2 linked regions of the Macaca mulatta genome follow. The protein of the gene in region 2 purifies or fractionates together with the protein of the main gene of each other region. This does not show direct contact. Links are inferred from orthologs where the notes say so. Each region holds a gene or a part of one and is shown on either strand. Other genes may lie near its edges.

The links. Proteins that work in one complex are often made in the same cells at the same time.
Region 1: the proteins of SNX33 (region 2) and DNM2 purify together in Homo sapiens (co-immunoprecipitation; 3 studies listed by BioGRID and IntAct, with this or other methods). This does not show direct contact. The link is inferred for Macaca mulatta from reciprocal best matches to the Homo sapiens genes SNX33 and DNM2.

Annotation. Positions count from the first base shown.
Region 1 is NC_133424.1:11,453,879-11,458,202, forward strand, and holds the start of DNM2 (dynamin-2), read left to right. Parts: upstream 1-1,489; 5' UTR 1,490-1,666; coding exon 1,667-1,827; exon of another isoform or gene 1,828-1,927; intron 1,928-4,324. UniProt on the Homo sapiens protein: Catalyzes the hydrolysis of GTP and utilizes this energy to mediate vesicle scission at plasma membrane during endocytosis and filament remodeling at many actin structures during organization of the actin cytoskeleton.
Region 2 is NC_133412.1:53,690,126-53,694,360, forward strand, and holds the start of SNX33 (sorting nexin-33), read left to right. Parts: upstream 1-1,425; 5' UTR 1,426-1,515; coding exon 1,516-2,986; intron 2,987-4,235. UniProt on the Homo sapiens protein: Plays a role in the reorganization of the cytoskeleton, endocytosis and cellular vesicle trafficking via its interactions with membranes, WASL, DNM1 and DNM2. Acts both during interphase and at the end of mitotic cell divisions.

The sequences.
Region 1 (4,324 bases), on a different chromosome or scaffold from region 2:
TCAAAAAGATCCAAAGCCAGTTGGGGGGTTCACACCTGTAATCCCAGCACTTTTGGGAGGCTGGTCTGTGACAGTCGTTTGGGCCCAGGAGTTTGAGACCAGCCTGGACAACACAGCAAGACCCTGTCTCTATAAAAAATAAAATAAAAATAATTAGCTGGGCATAGTTGACTCAGGGCATGCCTGTGGTTCCAGCTACTTGGGACGCTGAGGCGGGAGGATCGTTTGAGCCCAAGTGCTTGTTGAATTGAGCTATGAGTCCACTACTGCACTCCAGCCTGGGCAACAGAGCAAGACCCAGTCTCTAGGAAAGGAAGATTCATTGGCTAGACGCGGTGACTCACGCCTGTAATCCCAACACTTTGGGAGGCCAAGATGGGCAGATCACTTGAGGCCAGGCGTTCGAGACCAGCCTGGCCAATAGGGTGAAACCCTTTCTGTCTACTAAAAATACAAAATTAGCTGGGTGTGGTGGCGTGCACCTGTAATCCCAGCTATTCGGGAGGCTGAGGCAGGAGAATTGCTTGAACTGGGGAGGCAGAGGTTGCAGTGAGCCAAGATCGCGCCACTGCACTCTAGCCTGGGTGACAGAGTGAAACCCCGTCTCAAAAAGAGAAAAAAAAAGATTCATGCTCTGCTAAAGTTGAAGAAGCCGGGGAAAAAACTTTGGAGCGTTAGCGGCGTCAAGATCGGGCGTGAGCAGAAAGGGCACAGTATTTGCAAAGGCGTGGAGGAGGAGTGATTTTACTGCGTTCTGTCTCTGGGAAGCAATGACTTGGCCTTACCCATTTACAGAGTGCATTGGGACCCTGGTCCCAGAGTTGGTTTGCAGTCTGGGCACTGAGATGCGTTCTGGGACTTGTAGTTTTCCCCAGAGCCAGGAAACTCAAAAATCGAGACATCGGATCCCACCACGAGGTGTCGCCCTTGAGCGAGTACGGTGGCACCTATCCTGTACTTCAGAAGACTGTTGCAGATATCCAACAATCACAGGGGAAGAACGCGAGTTTTTCTGATTGACAGATATGGTTCTCAATCATAGTGAAGATTCGGATGTTACACCCCGCCCTCTTTTGCCTGGTTGGCTGGAGCAACGAAGTGATATTTATATGAACCAATGGGAAATTCTTAGGGAACTAGGTAGTAGCTCAATCCCTAACATCATTGGTCCACATTGTCGACTGGCACGTCTGCCTGCCAATAAGATGGTGTAACCTCGCCAATGGGCGGAGCCAAAGTGCATTTTTCTGAAACACCTCCTTCCTCTCTTGACAACTTGCTTTCTGCCGCTATTGGCTTTTGCACAACAGTGACGGTTCTTTTGTCCAATAAACCAGCAAGACGGTCCTCAGGGGGAAGGTTTACTCAACCATTGGCTTGTGCCTCGTTTTTATTGGCTAGTGTGCCCGAGTGGCGGCGCAGCAGGCCAATCGCGTGCGGCGCGAGTGATTTGTGCGCAGCCCTGGGGCCGGGGCGGGAGGTCGCTTGGGTCGGGTGTAGCCTGAGAACCGGATGAGGCGGCGACCGTGAGGCCGAGCCGGGAGCGGGCGTCTTGCCGAGGCCCGGGCGGGCGGAGAGCAACGGCTACAGACGCCGCGGGGCCAGGTCGTTGAGGGTCGGCGGCGGCGGGGAGCGCAGGGCGCTCGGGCCGGGGGCCGCCGGCGCCATGGGCAACCGCGGGATGGAAGAGCTGATCCCGCTGGTCAACAAGCTGCAGGACGCCTTCAGCTCCATCGGCCAGAGCTGCCACCTGGACCTGCCGCAGATCGCTGTGGTGGGCGGCCAGAGCGCCGGCAAGAGCTCGGTGCTGGAGAACTTCGTGGGCCGGTAAGCGGGCGCGGCAGGGATCGCGGGCGGGCGGCGGCCTAGGGCGCGGAGGGCGGACCGGGAATGGCGCTCCCTGCGCCGCCGGCGTAACTGCGGCGCTTGCGTGCCGGCGGCGGGGAACCGGACGGGGTCGGGGAGGCGGGCCCTGTGGGACGCCCTGGGCAGAGGACTCCCTGCAGGGGCTCGGGAGCGGGCCTGGGCCCCAGGGGCGGCGTCATGGGCCGGGGGGCCGTAGGACCGGAGGTGTGCTGGAATCCTGCGGTCCATCTGGTCCCAGCTTTCGTGGGTGAACTCTGCCGTCTGGTTGCCCGTGGGTCTGGGGTAGATCCCTCTTCTGCTCTTTCGGGCTGTTTATCAGAGGTGAAACCGGCCATCTAGATATCTACTGGGGCGACCCCTGCGGTCTGGCTGGCTTGTTCTTGTATCTGGAGCTGCCCCCGCCATCTGGTTGGCTGTCTCTCTGTCCTGGGCAAGCCTCCCTGCCACAACCATTTGGTTGTCCATCTGTCCAGTCCCACCTGGCAGCCCCCTGCTGTCTGGCTAGCTGTAAAGGGTGACCTCTGCTGTCTGGCCGCCCATCCGTGCCCCTCACAGACTTTAACACTGAGCAGTCCCTCTGTTGGGTGACACCAGCTGGCCTCCACTGTCTGACTGGCTAGCTGACTCCTAGGGGACCCTGTTTGATTCTCTCAGGCTGACTCTTAGAGCTTAGTCCCTGCCTAGAGCTGGTCCTCTCTTCCGTCATTCTTCTGTCTGTCTGGCCATCTCCTGTTCTGCGCATGACTACCCCTGAGTGTCTGGCCCAGCGCCTCTGGAAGTGGGTGGCAGGAGGGTAGAGGGGAGAATACAGCTGAAGGATGAGGTTTGAACCCTACTTCCCCTGTCAGCTAGAAGGAGGACCCTGGGGGTACCTTACTTCAGGATTCCTTTCAGGGTGCTAGAACACAGGGCCCGCCTCCCAGCTACAGCCTGCCAATTGGGGGCCCTCCTTTGGAGCCTGGGAAGGGTCTTCTCGCGTGACCAGGCCTCAGTGGCTAGCCCTGGGATGTAGCCTTCTCTGGACAGCCCTGAGAAGCCGCGGTGTGCCCATCTGTCCAGTGGGCAGACTCCACTCTCTGGGCTGTTTCCAGGATTCAGGAAGCAAATGAATGAGAACAGCCCGTGCAGCCACCTCTCCCTCCCACCAACCCCTCTTGCCTTTCTTGTCTCCCAGATGGGCGGCCACTTCTCCATTCCAGGAACTACTCATTTGTAGTGGTGTGGCTGCCAAATGATAACATCCTCCTCCTGTCATTATTGTCATTGTTATTGTTTTTTTTTTTTTTTTTTTTTTTTGAGACGGAGTCTTGCTCTGTCACCCAGGCTGGAGTGCAGTGGCCGGATCTCAGCTCACTGCAAGCTCCGCCTCCCGGGTTTACGCCATTCTCCTGCCTCAGCCTCCCAAGTAGCTGGGACTACAGGCGCCCGCCACCTCGCCCGGCTATTTTTTTGTATTTTTTAGTAGAGACGGGGTTTCACCGTGTTAGCCGGGATCGTCTCTCGATCTCCTGACCTCGTGATCCGCCCGTCTCGGCCTCCCAAAGTGCTGGGATTACAGGCTTGAGCCACCGCGCCCGGCCTGTTATTGTTTTTATCAGTGTCAAGGGATAATGTTTTTCTTGATTCAACATCTTGAATCCCAAGTAAGGAGTGGGGTGGAGGCTGTGTTACCATCCCCACGTTAGCTGAGCTGGGAGGCTTAGAAGGAACTGTGTTCACCCAAGGCCACCAGGCTGGCGTAAAGCCTTGTGTCTGCTATCCCAGAGCCTTGGGGCTTTCCTCCCAGCAGCACGAATTTCCTCCTTTGCTACCTTGTCTCTGGCTCATTGCCTTCTGTCTTACCACAGTGTTTGCAAAGCTCTGTCTCTTTCACATGCCTTGTGACCTTGCACAGGTTGTCTTGGTCTAAGTCTTGGTTGACACTCCTAAACAAGTTTTTTTTTTTTTTTTTTTTTTTTTGAGACAGAGTCTCGCTCTGTCTCCCAGGCTGGAGTGCAGTGGCATGATCTTGGCTCACTGCAACCTCTGCCTCCCAGATTCAGGCGATTCTCCTGCCTCAGCCTCCCGAGTAGCTGGGATTACAGGCGTCCACTACCATGCCCAACTAATTTTTGTATTTTTAGTAGAGACGGGGTTTCACCATGTTGGCCAGGCTGGTCTCGAACTCCTTACCTCAAGTGATCCTCTCGCCTTGGCCTCCCAAAGTGCTGGGATTACAGGCGTGAGCCACCAGGTCGGGCCCCAGGAGTTCAAGACCAGCCTGGGTAACATGACAAGACACCATTCTACAAAAAATAAAACAAGTAGCCAGGTAGGGTAGTAGTCCCACACCTGTAGTCCAAGCAACTCACGAGGCTGGCCCTGGGAGGATTGCTTGAGCCCAGGATGTCCAGACTGCAGTGAGCTGTGATCGCACCATTACCCTCCAGCCTGGGTGACAGAACCAGATCCTGTTTCA
Region 2 (4,235 bases):
AGCAGAGGAGGTGGCGGTCCCAGAGACCAGCCCCGGAGGCTCTCGGGCTCCCTCGTTCCCGGGTCGTTTCCTCCCTCTTGCCCGGGACTGAGCGAGGGCACTGGCCAGATGGGAAGCCGCGCGGAGGAGTAGGCGGGGGCTCGGCTGCAGCGCCCCGGGCCCGCGGGAGGGCGGAGCTGGCCGTCCCTGCCCCGCCGGGACGCACGGAAGTGCAGCGGAGTTTGCCCGATTCTCCAGCCTGCTTCCCCCTCCCTCCTCCCTCTCCCCACCCCTCACCTCCCCTTTGGCGATCCCCTCCTTCCTCGGGACGCCACCTCCCGGAATCGCGTTTTTGTTTTGGAGCTGCCTTCTCGCTGGCGGCGCGGAGGGTCTGCGAGCGCAGGGGAAGGCAGGCTGGGGGCGCAGCCCGCCCCCCACTGGCCGGGCCCCGCAGGGCGGAGCGGAGGACGGACGGACAGACGGCCAGCCGCGCCATCTGCTCGCCGGAGCTCACTCTCCAAACTCCAAACTGTTGAGTGTGTGCGTGCACGCGAGGGTGGGGGTCGGGGGTCGTAAGTCCCGGGTGAGGAACTGGTTTCTGCTGGGGTTACCTTTGGACGGGGTTCCTGGGATTCAGAGCAGGGTCAGCGTCAGTCTCAGAAACTGCTGAGGAATTAGGCAAACAAAAGAGACCACTCAGCGACTGGCCAGAAGTCGCCCGACCGCCTCGTCGCGCCCCCTCCTTCCTCCGGGGTTGGGACTGGCCACTTCTGGGGCGGGGAGAGGGCGCCCGAGCCGGCGGGGGCTCCGGCTGCGCAGCCGGGGTCGAAGAGTTGGCGGCCTGTTGTGTAAGCCTCAGTCCTTGTTTTCCCGGCCTGGCTCGTTGTGAAGCCGGACACATCCACCCTTGGACTCGATTCAGGAGGCTGCTGCTTTTCTCCTTGCCCCTCTTGGATTTTCCGGATATTTGAAAACCCAGTGGCCCAGGAGCAAGAGGAGGAGGAAGGAGGAAGGGGCAGATCTGCAGAGGAATGTGAGAGCCTCCCAAAGCGAGAGTGGCCAAAAGAATCTGGGAGCCAGAGGGACAGCCGAGCCCTGCCTGGGTTTCTGGAATGGTGGTTTCCGAGTGAGTCTCTTCTATTTTAGAACGTTGTTCCAGTGGAAAGTGTCGAATTTTTCCCCTCCAGGGCAGATTTCTCCAGGTCACTTGACTTTTCTTCTGGGAGTAGGAGTTAGGAGAGACTCCCCTCTAATCCCCCAGGGGCTGCTAAGGGAGGAGGCTATGGACATGAGCCCTCCCTGCTCACAAGCATATGCCCGGAGACCTGATAGGGCAGTTTCTGGGCCGTGGACATTGCTTTGAAGAGCAGGAGATTGGACAGCATCTGTGGGTGCTGAGACCCCACCTTAGGACCTGAGAGATTGAACTGTGTAAGCGCCATTCAGCTGCGAGTGCATTCTTGGACTTCCTTGTGAGCATCCCGGGTCTGGACAGGACCCTCTCCTTCCCATCTGTCTGTACCACCCAGCCCAACCATGGCACTGAAAGGCCGAGCCCTCTATGACTTTCACAGTGAGAACAAGGAGGAAATCAGCATCCAGCAGGATGAGGACCTGGTCATCTTCAGCGAGATCTCACTGGATGGCTGGCTGCAGGGCCAGAACAGCCGTGGGGAGACAGGGCTCTTTCCTGCCTCTTACGTGGAGATCGTCCGTTCTGGCATCAGCACCAACCATGCTGACTACTCCAGCAGCCCTGCAGGCTCTCCGGGGGCCCACGTGAGCTTGTACAATAGCCCCAGTGTGGCCAACCCAGCTAGGAGTGGTGGGGGCAGTGGCTTCCTCTCAAACCAGGGTAGCTTCGAGGAGGATGATGATGATGATTGGGATGACTGGGACGATGGATGCACAGTGGTGGAGGAGCCACGGGCTGGTGGGCTGGGCACCAATGGGCACCCTCCCCTCAACCTCTCCTACCCTGGTGCCTACCCCAGCCAGCACATGGCCTTCCGGCCCAAGCCACCACTGGAGCGGCAGGACAGCCTGGCATCTGCCAAGCGAGGCAGTGTGGTGGGCCGTAACCTCAACCGTTTCTCATGCTTTGTGCGTTCTGGAGTGGAGGCCTTCATCCTAGGTGATGTGCCCATGATGGCCAAGATCGCTGAGACATACTCCATTGAAATGGGCCCTCGTGGCCCCCAGTGGAAGGCCAACCCCCACCCATTTGCCTGCTCTGTGGAGGACCCCACAAAACAGACCAAGTTCAAGGGCATCAAAAGCTACATCTCCTACAAGCTCACACCCACCCATGCTGCCTCACCTGTCTACCGGCGCTACAAACACTTTGACTGGCTCTATAACCGCCTGCTACACAAGTTCACTGTCATCTCAGTGCCCCACCTGCCTGAGAAGCAGGCCACAGGCCGCTTCGAGGAGGACTTCATTGAAAAGCGGAAGCGGAGACTCATCCTCTGGATGGACCACATGACCAGCCACCCTGTGCTCTCCCAGTACGAAGGCTTCCAGCATTTCCTTAGCTGCCTAGATGACAAGCAGTGGAAGATGGGCAAACGCCGGGCGGAGAAGGATGAGATGGTGGGTGCCAGCTTCCTGCTCACCTTCCAGATCCCCACCGAGCACCAGGACCTGCAGGACGTGGAAGATCGCGTGGACACTTTCAAGGCCTTCAGTAAGAAGATGGACGACAGTGTCCTGCAGCTCAGCACCGTGGCGTCAGAGCTGGTGCGTAAACACGTGGGGGGCTTCCGCAAGGAATTCCAGAAGCTGGGCAGTGCCTTCCAGGCCATCAGTCATTCCTTCCAGATGGACCCCCCTTTTTGCTCTGAGGCCCTCAACAGTGCCATTTCTCACACGGGCCGTACCTATGAAGCCATCGGGGAGATGTTTGCTGAGCAGCCCAAGAATGACCTCTTCCAGATGCTGGACACACTGTCTCTCTACCAGGGCCTGCTCTCTAACTTCCCTGACATCATCCACCTACAGAAAGGTAAGACCCAGTGCAGGCAGGAAACCCATCCTGAGTCTGACTCTCTGCTGGGCCCTGGGGAGATGGGGATGGCCTGGATAGAATGGAGCAACTTATCTTTATTTCTCTGTCTCAATCATTCATTTAACAAATGTGTTGGACTGGGCATGGTGGCTCATGCTTGTAATCTCAGCACTTTGGGAGGTTGAAGTAGGAAGATCAATCACTTGGACCCAGGAGGTTGAGACTACAGTGAGCCCGATTGTGCCACTTCACTCCAGCCTGGGTGACAGAGTGAGACCCTGTCTCTAAAACAAACAAACAAACAAACAAACATGTTGAGTATCAACTCTGTATCTGTGCAAATGTGCTTCTAGGTACAGGAATATTGTTGTGCACAGGCCTGGTCTCTGTCCTCATGGAGCTTGATATTTACCTTCTTGTCAATTCATTCATTTTCTCTGGATCTCATTTACCCATCATGCATGGTGTCATGCTGGGTTCTGAGAACACACAGATGACCGGGCCCCAGGCCTTGCCCTGGAGGAGCCGGTAGGCCCTTGGGAGACAGAGACCCAACCCAGATAACAAGAGCTCAGAGTGGGGGCCTGTCTTCTGCCCCTTGCAAGTTCACCTCCCCACCTTTGCAGCTTTGCAAGTTACTCTCACCACTGTGTATTCTCTCTATGAGCGTCTTGTCTGTGTGCAGGAAGATCCCTGTCCCCATTTTGCGGATGAAGGAGTTAGTGTCCACAGAAGAGTGGTTGCACAGCCTGTGGCCCGGCTGGGACTGTCCTTTCCTCCTGCTACCTCCCCAAGGACACGTCCATGTTGGCCGCTTCCCAAGCCTAGCCGTGTTTTCAGTTGTCATGACCCCCTCCGTGGGGGAGGGACAGGATGGGCCTCTGCCTGTTACTGCTGGGGCTGTCAAGGAACTGCCGGGGAAATGACTCATCCTGGGTCACACAGGGGCACCCTGGCTGGACCAGGCTGCGGAATCAGGGGTCCAGGGCACTGCCCACATGGCCTATCCAACTCCTGCTTCCCAAGCCTGGCTTCTCTTCTTGCCTGAGGAGACAGCCAGTGACTGCCCCAGCAGGTACCTGAGTCCTGGGGACAGCTAGGAGGGCAGATGTCAGGAGAGAGGTGTGATCCTCCCTGGGGCTGCTGGGTAACTCGTATGCAGGGCGTGGAGCTGGCTCCCTGGCCCTTGGGCCCTGAGGTCAGGCCTGGCTTGGTGGGGAGTTTGACTCTGGGTGGGGCCAGGAGG